Linked DNA regions of Tamandua tetradactyla. The protein of the gene in region 2 interacts with the protein of the main gene of each other region in a biochemical or structural test. Links are inferred from orthologs where the notes say so. Each region holds a gene or a part of one and is shown on either strand. Other genes may lie near its edges.

Region 1 (7,614 bases), on a different chromosome or scaffold from region 2:
AAAACAAAGCAGAGGATGGGAATAGAAACTGTGAGAGGTGCAATAACTGAAGGGAAGGCCTCACTGATAAGGTGACAGTTGAGAAAAGATGGGAAGGAGGTCAGGGAAAGAGAAAGGAGGATAACTAAGAAAAGAACATTCCAGGCAGAATGAAACAGCAAGTACAAATTCCCTAATCAGAAGCATACTGCGTGTGTTTCAGGGTCACCAAGTTGGTGAGTGTGACTGCAGCAGAGTGAGCTACAGCAGGAGATGAATTTAGGAGGGTAATGGGGTGATAGCGATGGACAGAACCCTTAGGGTCTTGTAGGCATTTTTAAAACTTTGGTTTTTAGTCCAATTGAGATGGAAACCCCTCAGAAGGTTTGGATCAGAGGCATTTGATCTGACTGAAGTTTTAAGAAAATCATTCTGGCTGTTGTGCTGAGACTGGAATGAAGGGGGACAAAACCAGAAATGAGAGTGATAAGGGGCTACTGAATGAAACAACAGAAGATCATAATCCAAATTCATTTCTGCATAATTCTAGAAGGAATAGTAATTTGTGAAGCAGATTTAACTTTCTAATTGCTAATACTGAAATAATTTTTTATACTGTATGTAAGGTATAAGGAGAAGCTTGAAAATAATAATAGAGTGCGAATGATCACTATTATGAGTTTATGGTCTTAAATGATGGTATAACAGTATCCGTGTTAAAGATCATTTCAGGCACTATAATTAAAATATTGTACCTTCTATAAATTAGGTCTGTCTATTTTAGTTTATAAAATTATCATATGTTCATTGTAGAATATTTCAACAAAGCACATAGCAATCATTGAATGTCTCTGATTCTATATTTTTTTTATTGTGAAACATAACATAATATACAAAAAAACCCCAATAAATTTCAAAGTATTTTAACAAGTAGTTATAGAAGAGACTTCAATGTTTGATATGGTCATGGTTCCACAATTTCAGATTTTTCCTTCAACTCTTCTAAGACACTGGAGTCTAGAAAGAAATACCTGATTCTATACTAATAAAATTGGATCTTATGAATGAAAATACTAATCTGGTTCCATATTAATGATAGTCAAATTAAACAAACAATGAAATAATCATATGGGTTTTGGCCCCTTGTATTCCTTTCCTAAAGTTCCTCCTCATTTTATTCATGGGAGCTGTTTAAGTGGATGATAAAATGTATATACATTGTGGCACTCACTAAACTGAATTAAATATAACATCTACTGTTATTTTACTTTATGGGTCTACATTTTTTTTTAATTTAACTTTATCTTTTAGCCATTATTCCTGAAATTATATTGAAATAGAGCTCAAAAACCTTTGACTTGATTACTGTCTTTTAGAGGTCCAGACTCAAGAAATAGCTGATATATTTGTTTAAATTAGAGAAATGTTTTCATCTAAGATAAAGGTTCAGTACAAATATAGATAAAGCAAACAGTGCTTGCTTAAAAATGTACGTGCTTACTGTCTAATACTATATTCGTATTAAAACTCAGTTAATATTCTTTATACTGCACAATTATCATAACCATTTGCAATTATCTGTAGTTTAAATAACTGAGATAAATACTGTAATTATGTAGACTTCATTACTTGAATATTTAAAAAACAATTTTCCTCACAGAGTTAAAATTTTATATTACTTATATTTATTGTTTTAATTTCACTTTTCTTGTTTTAGTTTTAGATTCAGATGATATATTAAATGATCACATTATAACTTGGAGTCATATTGCTAAATTTTTACAATAAAATCTAAAACTCTTTTGCCTAGATCAAATTGCTTTTTTTCCTTACAATTTTATAGAACAAATATTAATATTTAGATAACATATTTCTTTGCTCTATATAGCTTTGGATATCATCTTTTATAGGATCATCTTATACAATGCTACGCTTGCTTAAAATAAATGATGATAACATATTTACAACATACCATTTTCAATTTTAACCACTTTCAAACATGCAGATCAGTGGTGTTAATTATATTCTCTGTTGTGCTACCATCACCATCCATTACCAAAACTTTTCCATTACCCCAAACAGCAACTCAGTACCCATTAATCACTAATTCCGTGTTCCAAAACCCACTTCTGCCCTTGGTAGTCTGTAATCTTTTTTGTCTTTATAAATTTGTATATTCTACTTTTATCCAAATAACTGTGTTCATACAATATTTGCTCTTCTGTGCCTGGTTTATTTCATTCCACATAATGTCGTCAAGGTTCATCCATATTGTTACATGTTTCAGAATTTTATTGTTTTATAGCTACATATTAGTCCATCAATGTACATACCACGTTTATCCATTCATGTATCAATAGACACTTGGGTTACTTTTACTTTTGTGAATAATGCTACTCTTTTCAAGTCCCTGCTTTCAATTTCTTTGAGTATATACCTAGAAGTGGGATTACTGGGTCATATGGTAATTCTATACTTAAGTTTTTGAGGCACTGCCAAACTGTTTTCCACAGCTGCTATATCATTATACATTCCACAGTGGCTATACCATTATACAATGTCTGGGTGGGGGAGCGGGGTTTCCATTTCTCTGCATCCCTGCCAATATTTACTCTCCTTTTTTAAAATAACAGACATTCTACTGGGTGAGAGGCAGTATTTCATCATTTTGATTTGCATTTCCCTAATGGCTAATGATGTTGAGCATCTTTTCATGTACTTATTGGCCACTTGTATATCTTCTTCGGAGTATACTTGCTTTTTACACCTGGGTAACAGAATATTTACATACAAACCAGTTTTGTTAAAGTATTAAACATTATGAGCATTTTGAGTACTTCCATAAAACTGCAATTATTGGCAGAATAGCATTGCCCAAATCAGAAAATTAGGGAACTTTAGGATTATATGTGACAGTAGACAAGATAATCAATTAATCCTAGTTCATGAGCACAAGCCACAACCCCTTTAAGCCTTAAGAATCTCAATATCTGCAAATGATATTTTTCTGTCCATCTCCGCTGTGAAATTTCGACTCTATGGATGAACAAATCTGGATTAAAACTGCAAGGTTTTCAGGGCTCATGCTGAAGAACAAAAGGCAATAATTTGAAAAGGCTCCTCTGATGAACAAAAGGCAGTAATTCGAAAAAGACAATTCATAATTTCTTTGTTTCTGTTCTGCCTCTAAATTCGAAATGCTCTAATTTATTTAAGATATAGGGATGACCAAGGGTAGTTCTAGCAATTAACTTACATATTTTAAATATAATGCATACTTATTTTCCCTCTTACTGTATACAATGACGGCTATGTTAATAGAGTAAGGAACATACTTGAATAGTTGAGTGTTTTTTCAGTTACACCGTTAGGAATTACACTCATGTGCAACTATTTGGCCAAATCTTTGCTCCTGCAAGCAAAGCACCCACGACCTCTTTTCCTCTTTCCTTTCGCAAAGCGAAACAGGCTAGCGGCGGTTCCTGTGATAAGAGTGACGTCAGCCCCCATGGGTCGCGTGACCGACACCCAGCCTTCCCATTTCCCCGCCCCCGCGGCGGAGCGGGAGATCGCGCGAGAACTCGTCTTACTATCAGCATTAGTGAGGTTCACAGTGGAGTTTACTCCGAAGAGAAGGGAAGGGAAGGTGTGGCCCGGTGGAAGGGTTTTTGCTTTCATTCTGTTAACGTTCATGGCCGAAGCAAAGGCCTTTGGGGACTGCCAGATTCTGAGCAACCCAATCTGGAAAACGGCGGGGGAGGCGGAGGATGAGGTTGCAGTCAAATCAGGAGTGAAACGTGGCGCACCCGCCGGCGTCGCCGTCGCTAATGGGGTTGTGGGGGAGGGAGCAGCCCGGCGCCCGGCGCCTGGGAGCTGGCGTTGCGGCGAGCGCGGCTTCCGCTGGCGTGGGACCCGACCCTGACTTGGGAGACGGGTGAACCTTCTCTAGAAGCAGCCAGCTGCGCACACCCGGGCCCCGTGTCAACACGGAGCGGCGCCAAGTGGTAGCGCCGCTCGCTCTCCCGCCCGGGGCGCATTGTCCCTCGTGCCTGGCGCCCACATCGGGGCTGGGGGGCTTCCACGACCCCCCCAGACGGTTCACGAGTCGTCCGCCTCCTGCTGCTAAATTTAGTCCCAGATTTGGGCAGGAGCCTTTCTGCGGGTTTAAGTGGGTACCTTTGATGTCTGGCCTCGTTCACCTAAGCTCCCTCCGGGATTCTTCCCCCGCGCATCCTCCTCCTGCCCCTTGGACTCTCCCCTAGACGGGCGTGTGCGTGCGGGAGGCCAAGGGAGGGAGGGAGAAAGCCACGAAGGGAGAGGATTGGAGTCGCTAGAGGGAGGTGTGGGACCAGCGAGGGAGGGTGCTGGCAGGCGGAGGGCGCGGCGGGAGGAGGGGCCGGAGGAGGAGGCGGAGGCCTGGGGACGGCAGAAGAGGCTTAGCCTGAGCCGAGCACTCTTTCTCTCCCCGCGCAGTCGCCAAGCCGCGCGGGCTCCTTGGGGAGCGCGAGGACGCGGAGGTGCCGGGCCCAGTCCTTGCGGCCGCTGCCCGCGGGAGGGAGGTCGGTGCCAGGAGCGCGCGCTCAGCTGAGTCCCCGCGCGCCCCGCGCCCGCTGACAGCTGCAGCTGGGCTCGAAGCTGTCCGCTACACGCTCGGCGGCCTCGGCCCCTCGCACCTCCCCCGCCCCCTTCGGGTTCCTTCCCCGCCGCCTCTGTCCCTCCCGTCGCTGGTGCGGCTCCTTTCGCAAGTATTCGCCTCCCGCCCGATGCCCGGCTGCTTTTTTTCATATCTCGGCCCCGTCTTCTTGAATACTTTGCCCCCTGCACTTGGGGAGAGGGGCTGGTAAGGGCGGGTGGAGCATCTAGAGAAGAAGGAAGCAAGGCTTGGAGGAGGAGGCGGATCGGCGGACAGTAAGGAGGAGACCCCACGCCGCCCTTTCTGGTCATCTCCCCTCCCACCCCGCCCCTGCGCACACTCCCTCCCGGGCGAGCTACTTTCGGACGAGAAAAGTGAGGGCGGCCCTGGGTGACAGCGTTGCAGGGCCAGTCCCAGCGAAGCCGCGCGACTGCTCGCGTCTCGTCCGCCGCCCTTCGAGCCAGGGGCACAGTCCGGACCGAGGATGGCTTCGACGACAACCTGCACCAGGTTCACGGACGAGTATCAGCTTTTCGAGGAGCTCGGAAAGTAAGCGCCTTTGCCCGGCATACTCACATCCCCTTTCCAGCAGAGGGCGGGTGGCGTTGCCCCTGACCTGTCGGCCTCCGGAGTGGGGCGAGGGAGTTTGGGAAACCAGGGAAAGAGGGGGGTTCCTGCTTTATCAGCTGCCTTAGAAGAGGACTGGGGCAAGGGAGGGGAAAGACCCCCACCCCTGCTGTGGCCCCTTCTGATAATCCCTCCCTCCCTCCTACTCTTTAACCCAGAGACTTAGTGAATTTACGACCTCTGCAGTTGTAGCTGTCATCCTGAAAAGTGCGTGTGTGTGTAGGAAACAAGAATCTATGTAAATGCGATGTAGATCACGTTTTGTGTAAATAGAGATGCCTCCCTCCGGGTTAGCCGGCGTGTCGGCGGTATAACCCACATACGAATGAGAACTCACTGCCCCAGACGGTGCCATATTTATTGATGCCGAAAGTTCAACTTGTCGTAGAGTCTATTTTGCATCCAGTAGTTCTGTCCAGGAAAAGGGCCACCCAACGGAGTCGACCACCCTACCCGATATCATCAATTATTCTTTGCACTAGATTACTTGCATATCATCATCCTTTCTAGTATATACTTGTGCATCTCCGCGTTTTCTGTGCGGATTTATTTGTACAGGTAGCGGAAAAGCCCTCTGTAGATTGGAGGAGCGCTTCCCAAGGGTAGCCTAGCATAGTATAAAACGACCCCCTGCACCCGCTGGCAGAACTGCTTGTAGATGTTAAGGAAGGGTACTGGAGACCTAGCCAAGACCTGTGCGAAGGGACCTAGGGGCCGAGCCCTGATTGTTGATTTATGTAGCAGCAAACCCAAACCCAATTCCTCTTTTCCTAGTTTCGATTATTACTTATGAAAGGGGTGTGTTTGTGTCCAAGCTGCTGGTTTATACTGTTGAATTACAGGACCTGTAACTATCTTTTAAATGTAATGAGAATCATGTCTATATATTGTCTGCTGTCGAAACATGGAGAATATGTCGGAAGAGCAGCTTAATTCAAATATCTCCCCTCCCCCAATCCCAAACAGCGCATAGTGAAATAACCATACCAGGTTTTGTTAAACCACACAAATGTGCTCACGATTTTTATTTTAATGAAAGTAATGGCCATATATGCTTGGAGCCACATTAATTTTTCCCCTACCAAATAAAAAGACAGCAGATTTTTGCTGCTCCTTCTCAGCTCTGCTCTTTGCAGGATTTTCTCAGAGCATTTGGTGCTGAGTGTGAATTGTAAAATGTTTTCAAATTTCATGTGCAAACAAGAGCCGTCATTGTTGGCAGTTCTTTTCATTTTGTTGATTAATAATTTGTTAAATAAAATTCACTTTTATTCTCAAACATTGAAGAAGATCTGGGTTTCCAGACAGAATTGTTCTTTTTCTGGACCTTACTCTAGTGCACTGATGTTTGATAATTCACTGAAATCAATAAAAATGATTAGGTTGTCATAGTATTTTAATAGCGTATCAGAGCTGATTATATTGATGACCTGCTAATTATTGGTTTTCAGGGGGGCATTCTCAGTGGTGAGAAGATGTATGAAAATTCCTACTGGCCAAGAATATGCTGCCAAAATTATCAACACCAAAAAGCTTTCTGCTAGGGGTGGGTATTTTCAACCACATATTTATATATGTGAATTTTCTGTTTGTCCTGTTGATTGTTGGTTCTCTTGTATGTAAATGTGTCATGTAGTTATAATTGAATTGTAGATTTAGATATCATTTTATGTATTGAGATTATTTCCTTCTTGTATGACTCTTGGTTTGTACTGGTTTAAAAGTAAATGAAAGAATATGATTGTTATTATTTAATACATTGTTATTAAAATTCTATCTTTCCTATGAGCAGTAGCATAAATAACTAATTTTAAAACAAATAAATGTCACTAAGTACATTTTGCCTTCAGCTCCAGTGTGAAATAACTTTCAGAAGGATTTGGAATGGAAAAATATAAGTCTCACAACTGCCATAATTTCCTTTTACTTTTCAGAGGTAAAATAGGTCACAGCTCAGTTGAATCATATATTTCAATTGCAGTTACACTTGAACTTAATTCATCAAAGCATATTTAACAGTACCAGCTTTGGGAGGAAGCATGTTTGCTGTATTTTAGGGAGTTTGGGTTGATTTTGACGTGTTTGTGTGCAGTTAAGACCTTTATTTGGTCTCCTGCATTAAGGTTTCTCTCACACACATGTAATGTATTTTACACGTGCAGTTTATAGCCACAGAGGTAATTCATACTTCCAACATAGCTGTTGACATCATTAAAAATCTTGGCGGGCCCTCGCTGTGATTTAGTTTGTCGAACTCCAGCAAAAGCACTTATAAACTCATGTTAGGTATTCCAGTTATTGTGAGCACATGCCTAAGGTATTTCCATGGGAATATATGGTTTTATGAAATGAAAATGTACAAAATGCTGTAGTGT
Region 2 (7,711 bases):
AGGCAGGCCACGAGCGGGCAGCTCCAGTGAAGGTCTTCAACAAGCTCCTTAGGAGAGTCTGGCTGGCTCAAGCGGAAAGAGATTCTCTCTCTGAATTCTCTTCTAAAGACTTCAGGTGATTAGATTAATTGTCACTCGTTGCAGAAGACACTCCCCTTAGCCAACTACAGATGTACCAGCCATGGATGCAACCAACTTGCTCGTGGTTCAAGTCCATGAACGTCCTCCCAACCACAGACAGGCCAATGCTTGCTTGACCGAACAACAGGGTACCATCACCTGACCGAGACGGCACATGAACCTAATCATCACGATGAATAAACGGTTTTCCGTATAGGACCCTGCTTTAGTCTGCAAGCTGCCAGAACGCAATATACCAGAAATGGAACAGTTTTGTAAATGGGGAATTTAATAAGTTACAAGTTTATAGTTCTAAGGCCATGAAATAATCCAAATTAAGTCAAGGGAGAGTATCCAAATTAAGGCATCCAGGGAAAGATACCCTGGTTTAAGAAGGCTGATGATATTTCAAGTTTCTCTTTCAACTGGAAAGGCACATGGTGATGCCTGCTAGCTTTCTCTCCTGGCTTCTCCAACAGCTTCCCGGGAGCATTTTCTTTCCTCATATCCAACAGTCTCTGGCTGTGTGGGCTCTGTTGGTTCTGGCGGCTCTAAAGCTTTCTTCCAAAATGGTTCCCTCTTAAAGGGCTCCAGTAAGCAACCCCACCTTGAATAGGTGGAGACACATCTCCATGGAAACCATCTAATCAAAAGTTACCACCCACAATTGGGTGGGTCACATCTCCATGGAAACAGTCAAAAAAGACCCCACCCAGCATTACTGAATGAAGATTGAAGGACAAGGCTTTTCTGCAGTACACAACAGATTCAAATGGCACAGTCCCTTAGATTTAAATCAACAGCCATGGAAAGCAAAAGTCATTATCAGCCAAGAAATAAAGATATCTGTAAATAATCACGCATTTTCCTTACTGCTAGGACCCAACCTGCAAGTTTGTGAAAACTTTAAATTGTACCTACCACTTTTATTTTCCTGCAGGCATCCTAATTCCTGAACTAAAACATCTGATTTGCCAAGCCCTCCAGCAACAAAATGCCCGGCTGGGTTCAAGCCTTGACCTGGCCAGGTGCAGACGACAGCAGGAGGGGACTGTGTCCTGGAGCCCTCGGGCTGGTTTCTACCCACTTCCAGCTACCTCAGGAATTACACTCTCAGCCTCAATGTTCCCACCTGTTAAGTGACACTGGAGGCAGAAACGAGAAATAAACTAAAAATGTAGCTAAGGGATGGGGCACGAAGCCCAGGAGGCTGTCTGTGCCTCCACTGCACCTGCCCTCCAGGAGCACGTATGCACATATGCTGTGCCAGGGCGCCTGAGCAGGGCAAACGCTCCTGCCAGAAAAGTGAGTCAGCATCTAAAGCCACCTAGAGACAAGCCACCCCCAATTCACCTTCCACACTGCTGAGTATAAAAATTAGCTCGAAGGTGTTTGTGGTGAAGCAACAGGAAGCTGGAAAATAGTGCATATTAAGCAGCTCATGAGAAATGAGTCGCAAAATCTTAACAAAAAAACAAGAATGGACATTTGGAAAGAGCTTGCATGTGGCTGTAGGGCTTTCAGGCCAACAGCGAGATGGAAAGAAACTGAGCCACAGACCCCTTCCTTCCGAGTCCTCCACCCACACCCACTTTAAGGTGCCCGTACCCTTGGCACAGGAAAAGGACTTGTTGCCCTCCCAGCCACAACACAACGCTTCAGAAGTGACCGATCTGGCCGACTGCCAAGCAAAGGGGAGAGAGTGCGAGGCGGTAGCAGTCCAGCCCCCAGCAACCCCCAGCAACGTGCTCCCCATGCTGGGCTCCACACCCCCCACCCCACGCAGGAGCAGTCCACAAAGTACTCTGTGGTCTCGGGGCCCTACCCAGCAAGGTCTGCTCAGAGCAGACACTAATGGCCACCAGCAGCCCCCACAGGGAAAGAGAGGTTCTTTCCTTAGGATGATATTTGCTTGAATTCACTGTATCTTTCCAAGTGATTGTTCTTCCTGGAAATCGGTAAACTAAAGAAAAATGCTTACATTCTAATAACCCTAACTGCCCAGAGACCTCCTCTGGGCGAGGCACAGTCAGCAGTCCCTTGTCCTCGCATCGGCACGGTACAGGAAAATGACCGTCCCCACGTCGACACCGCAGAAATGAACAAGGACAAGGAGCGACTCCATGAAGGTCAGACCAGCAGGTCCTCAGGGCCAGACACACACCCATCCTGGGCAGGGCCGCAGTCCTTCAAAGGATTTATCAATCTCTCTAGCTGAGCTGGTAAATTAAAAACACAAAAGCACATTAAATATTATATGGCACACACGCCATTCAGAAATCTTGTGGAAAAAACTGACATAAAGTATATACAAGCAATGAACGTATATTTAATTCAACTCCCTGCTACTTCCCACTGGCTGCAGCTCGCCCACACCATCAGCTGAATACCCTCCCCAGGCGCACGGCCGGGGGACGGGCCGCACGTCTGGAGGGCAGGGCGGCGGCTGCCACTGTCCTTGTTCACTGGGCGTCAGGACGCCACCCCCAGCACTGTCGCACGGCGGAGCTGGGGAGAGACACAGTTCCTTCCCACAGGTTTCCTTCTTATCACGCACAGATGTCTTCCAGGTAAATAAAATGCCATTTTATTTCGTTTAAACTCATTTACTCAATACGCATTATCAGGACCCGAGTAGGATCCCCTTAGGGTTGAGAACCCAGGAGGACAGAGGCCAGGCCCGCGGAGGGCACACACAGGGGCACGGCGGCCTCGCACCTGCATTCAAACTCCAGAGATGACCACCCAGACTCGGCATCCCCACCGGAACCAGTCCGGGCCAATCTCCTGCACAAACGTCTCCAGAAACTAGTGTCATGAGGTGGTCCAGAGGTCCCCCCATCACCCTCAGTAGGCTGCAGGGTCCCTTGCCTTTCCCATCCCGCTAGGGAGAGACACCAGACTCACCGTCCCAAGACCACAGCTGGGAGACACCAGCTAACTCCTAGCGGCTCCTCCTCACCCAGCCCGCTGCCCACGGCCAGGGCGACACTCTCCTGCACCCTACCCCCACTTCATGGCCCTGCTCTCACCTACAGACACCCTAGTGCAGGCTCCTGCAAGGTAGAAATGTGCATGCGAGGTATCTGCATCATTACCATGTATCGCAAGAATGCCACAGCACACCCTCCTCCCGCCAACAGAACCAACTCCCCTGGGTCCTCTGAATAGCTGGTGCACAATCTGTAGAAATCACTCTTGTGTATTTGTTTTATACAATATGGATATACTGTACAAATCACAACTCCCCCAAATCAAGATGAACTAAACCTTACCACTGTTTCTTTTATGATCGCTGTTATACACCACAAACCTGAATGTCTAAAAATACAGCGATTACCCTGTGGAGTGTTCTATTTTCATCTTCTAAAAATGGAGCTACCGACAGCAGAAGCAATCTGCTGTTAGATGTCAACCACGCTTCACGCCATTGGCAGGATGTGCATGTCTGCCCTTCTAGACTGTTCAGCTGTGGTCTCGCCACGATGGAGCCCGAGGCACCTGGAGAGGCAGCACCGAGGCTCTGCCGGGGGCCAGGGGGCCTGGGAGCCAGGTGCCCTCTAGAGGCCCCTCTACGTCCCCAAATGACCTAATGCAGCAGGGGCCTCATTTCCCACATCTCTAGGACAGGGGGGCTCCTACTGCCCCCCTCTCGGGGCAGAGTTCCAACGGGCCCCCATGGAGGCCCCTGGCTGACGCTGGGCACGCAGCAGGGGCTGACAAGCTGCATCGCCGGGCGCCACGGGAGGCAAAGCTCTGCCACGCAGTGTCTGAGTGTGCAGCACGGCCAGCTTGGCTGCCAGAGAAGCATCTCCCAGATCTGAGAGGGACATGAAAGCGGGAGAGCAGCAGCACGGAGGAAAGAGCAGAGCAGCGAAGAAGCTTCCACCCCAGAGTGCGGATGACGGCGTATCCTGCTGAATCTCCTTGCCAAAGACAGATGGGGCTGCGTCCATCCTTCTCCAGAGGACTGGGTCTTGTCTTAATGCCAATCTAGAAAGCAGCAGACTATACCCAAAGACCCATACATTAAAAATATGGTTTTCTGAAACAGCTTTCTCTAATTTTTGCAAGTCTCCTCACTATGAGAACAGAAATATCAAAAATTGTAGACTGAAATCCCTAGCTCATCTAAACCATGCTCTACTTTTTGTAATGGAGTTAATTTTTGATTCTCAGTGTAGAAGTAACAGAGCCACCTCTCCCCCGACCGGCTCGCACGCGCCCTCACGATCCAGCTCGACCTCAAGGGGCACACCACCAGGCAATGCTCCCTCCCCCAGGACCCGCGACACAGCGCCCTGGGCCCTGGGCACCCAGCCGGCTGTGCTCCTGCACCCCACTTCCCCAGGTCGCCTCCTGCACACAGGCCCCGCAGAGAGGAGCTGCAGCGCCACAAAAGGGGCTTCCAACGCACAGGTCACCCACTTCCTGGACAGCACTGATCTCGCGGCATGGCTTCCTCCTCTCATAAGCTACTGCAATCCTTCAGCAGCTCGGAACAGATTCGTTTCCTATAATTCCATCCACAACCAAGACGCTAAAACATGTACCACTACAAAGGATTGCCAATAACACGCAAAATCAACGGGCAAGGGGAAACTGTAGAAATCACACCAAAACAGAACAGAGACGCAGCTTTCTTCACCTGAAACCAATCCACAGGGCTGTCCACCTCTGGACGGATGGCACCTGCGACGTGGGACCCACAGGCCCTCTGTGGCCAAGGCGGGCGCTGTGCTGTGGCGGCTCACACTTAAGTGTCCACAACAGAAAGGAGAGCAAGCTTTTTTTTTTTTTTACTGCTTGAAAAAACATCTAGAAAGATTCACTACTCAAATTATTTGGCAAGTGTGTTATCTTTAGTTTTGCTTTCACTTTTTTATAATGCAGTTTTATTGAGATACATCATATATTCAGATGCCATATAATCACCCACACTGTACAATCAGTGGCTCACAGTATCATCGTATAGGTCGACTGCTGAATAGACTTTCACTTTTTAAAAAATTTTTATTAATAAAACCAATCAACACACAATATGAACATTCTTTTTTTATCACATAGTTGCACATTCATCATCATGATCATCTCTTAGAACATTTGCATCAATTCAGAAATAAATATAAAAAGAAAACAGAAAAAAAATTTATACATACCATACCCCTTGCCCCTCCCTTTCACTGATCATTAGCATTTCAATTTACTAAATTTATTTTAACATCTGTTCCCCCATTATTTATTTATTTTTAATCCATATGTTTTACTCATAAGGTAAATAAAAGAAGCATCAGACATAAGGTTTTCACAATCACACATTGCGAAAGCTGTATCATTATACAATCACCTTCAAGAAACATGGCTGCTCTACATTTTCAGGCAGTTCAAAGGGCAAGCTTTGAGCTCAACTGCAACTACAAGGAAAGAGGAGAGGGAGCACATCGGTGTCAGATGCGTGCTCCTCATACGGACAGTCTGAACTAAGAGGCACCTGCAGCCCAAGATCCAGTTTCATACATTAGAAGACACACATCCTACTGATGGCCAAACACCAAGTTAAGCAGTAGACAGAGCTAATTAGAACCTCAGGTTCCTGAAATCTGCTCAATGCCCCACACCTCCCACTCCAAGAATACAGAAATTATGATTAGAATACAGAATATAATCCCCACACCTCACTTTCCACACAGAGTTCAGCTCAAAAGAAAGAGAAGATTCTGGTTACCAATGGGTGCTCTAAGCAAGTTTGCTGAAGTCCAGCTGCCTATCTGGGATAGAGGCTTCAGAACAGAGGGCTGAAAGGACCTTACTGGGTAGCAGATGTTGCCTTGGGCACGCCATGGGCAGAGAGCTGAAACTGAGGACGATGCATCAGGACAGAGCTCTCCAAGGGCCATCCAATCTAGGAAAGGGGGACTGGAAACCCACCTGTTAGGCCAAGAAGGAGCTGTGAAGAACCTGCTGTGAGAAGCAGACTCCCCTACGACCATGCCTTTATGGAAGGAGCCTCCAAATTCATGTCCTATTCATGCAATCTCAGGTCTAGAAATTAAGAAATAAGACTAGGCCAGAACTTGGGAAACCTGGGGTCCACAGGAAAACAAAACAAAAAGGTTCTACAATCCAGGGCATCAATAATTCCAGGGCACATGAGACACCCAAAGAAGGAGGGAAAAAAGGGGAAAAGAGAAAACTTCCTCTTGAAGACAAATTTACAATAAAAATCTAAAATTACAAATGACACACAGTAACGAGGAGAGAATCAGCAAGCACAACAAAACAGAGAAAGGACTCCACAATATCCACAGAGAACAAAACAATATGGAAAAAACTAATACATGCATGTTTTTAAAAAGCAAGAAGTTATATGAAGGAAAAGCCTATAATGTAAGAAAGAAACCATGGAAAAAGAAATGGACTTTTTTTTTTTAATAACGAATTTTCTAAAATTGAAAAGTAGAGCCACTGGGCGGCCCACACAAGCTCAGCAGGCCATGGCAGAGACCTGGGTTCGATTCCCAGTGCCTACCCATGCAAAAATAAAAAAACATAGAGCCACTGAAAATAGCTGATTGGGCATAGCTAGAGACAGAACACTGAATTGGTAGATAGATCTGAATCACCAGAATACATTATAAAAAGGTAAGGAGGGCGGGCCATGGTGGCTCAGTGGCAAGATTTCACTTGCATGCCAGAGTGCCAGAGACCTGAGTTCGATTCCCAGGGCCTGCCCATGTAAAAAAAAAAAAAAAAAAAAAGGGTAAGGAGAAAAGCAGCTTGAGTAAAACAGTGTGATGGCCCAACAAATACCGAGCATGAACTCAAGGAGTAAAGAATGGAAATCATGGAAAAGAAGTACTATTCAAAGAGATAATGAATCAAGAATATTCCATAATTCCAGAAAGATAAGAGTTAGGTTTAAAAAGCATGCTACTGTATGGGCACTTGCTTTCTTATCTCTTCGTTACCTAGAAGTAGAACATTTAGATCACATGGGAGGTGTGCGTCTAACTTTTTAAGAAACTGATGAATGGTTTTCCAACGCAACTGTATCATTTTACAGTCTCGCCCACTGTACATGAAAGCTCCAGTTCTTTCACATCTTTGCCAACAATTGGTACAATTTTTTTTCCATTTTAGCCATTTCCTCAAGCCTAGGGTTTATATTCTCCTAAAAGTATTGATCCAAAAGCAGAGGCTTTAACTTTAAGCTCAACTTTTCACTTTGTCGTTTTATACACCAGGCATTTGTTAATGTATCTAAAAAAATCTTTGCCTAACATAGGAATAAATATTTGTGACCCTATTTCATTCTAGAAGATTCATACTTTAAAGTTTTACAGTTAGGTCTATAACCCATATAATTAAATCGGTATGGTAATAAAAATGAAAAAAGAAGGATAAACCAGTACAAATCCACAAGTAGACACATCCCAATAAAACGTCAGACACCAAACATGGGGAAAAAATCTGAAAACCTCCTAGACAAAAAAGACCCTAAGAAACAAAACCTACACCAAGATCTAACTTCTCATCAGCAATAACAGCACAAAACGCCAAAGGACAATAAAAGAACTTCACACTGCAAAGA

Evidence for each region. The genes of interacting proteins can lie anywhere in the genome.
Region 1: of the proteins of HDAC4 (region 2) and CAMK2D, one has a biochemical effect on the other in vitro, tested with the Homo sapiens proteins (2 studies listed by BioGRID, with this or other methods). The link is inferred for Tamandua tetradactyla from reciprocal best matches to the Homo sapiens genes HDAC4 and CAMK2D.

The regions. Positions count from the first base shown.
Region 1 is NC_135350.1:8,363,024-8,370,637, forward strand, and holds the start of CAMK2D (calcium/calmodulin-dependent protein kinase type II subunit delta), read left to right. Parts: upstream 1-4,603; 5' UTR 4,604-5,096; coding exon 5,097-5,161; intron 5,162-6,690; coding exon 6,691-6,785; intron 6,786-7,614. UniProt on the Homo sapiens protein: Calcium/calmodulin-dependent protein kinase involved in the regulation of Ca(2+) homeostatis and excitation-contraction coupling (ECC) in heart by targeting ion channels, transporters and accessory proteins involved in Ca(2+) influx into the myocyte, Ca(2+) release from the sarcoplasmic reticulum (SR), SR Ca(2+) uptake and Na(+) and K(+) channel transport.
Region 2 is NC_135329.1:216,321,050-216,328,760, forward strand, and holds the start of HDAC4 (histone deacetylase 4), read right to left. Parts: upstream 3,017-7,711; 5' UTR 2,289-3,016; coding exon 2,102-2,288; intron 1-2,101. UniProt on the Homo sapiens protein: Responsible for the deacetylation of lysine residues on the N-terminal part of the core histones (H2A, H2B, H3 and H4).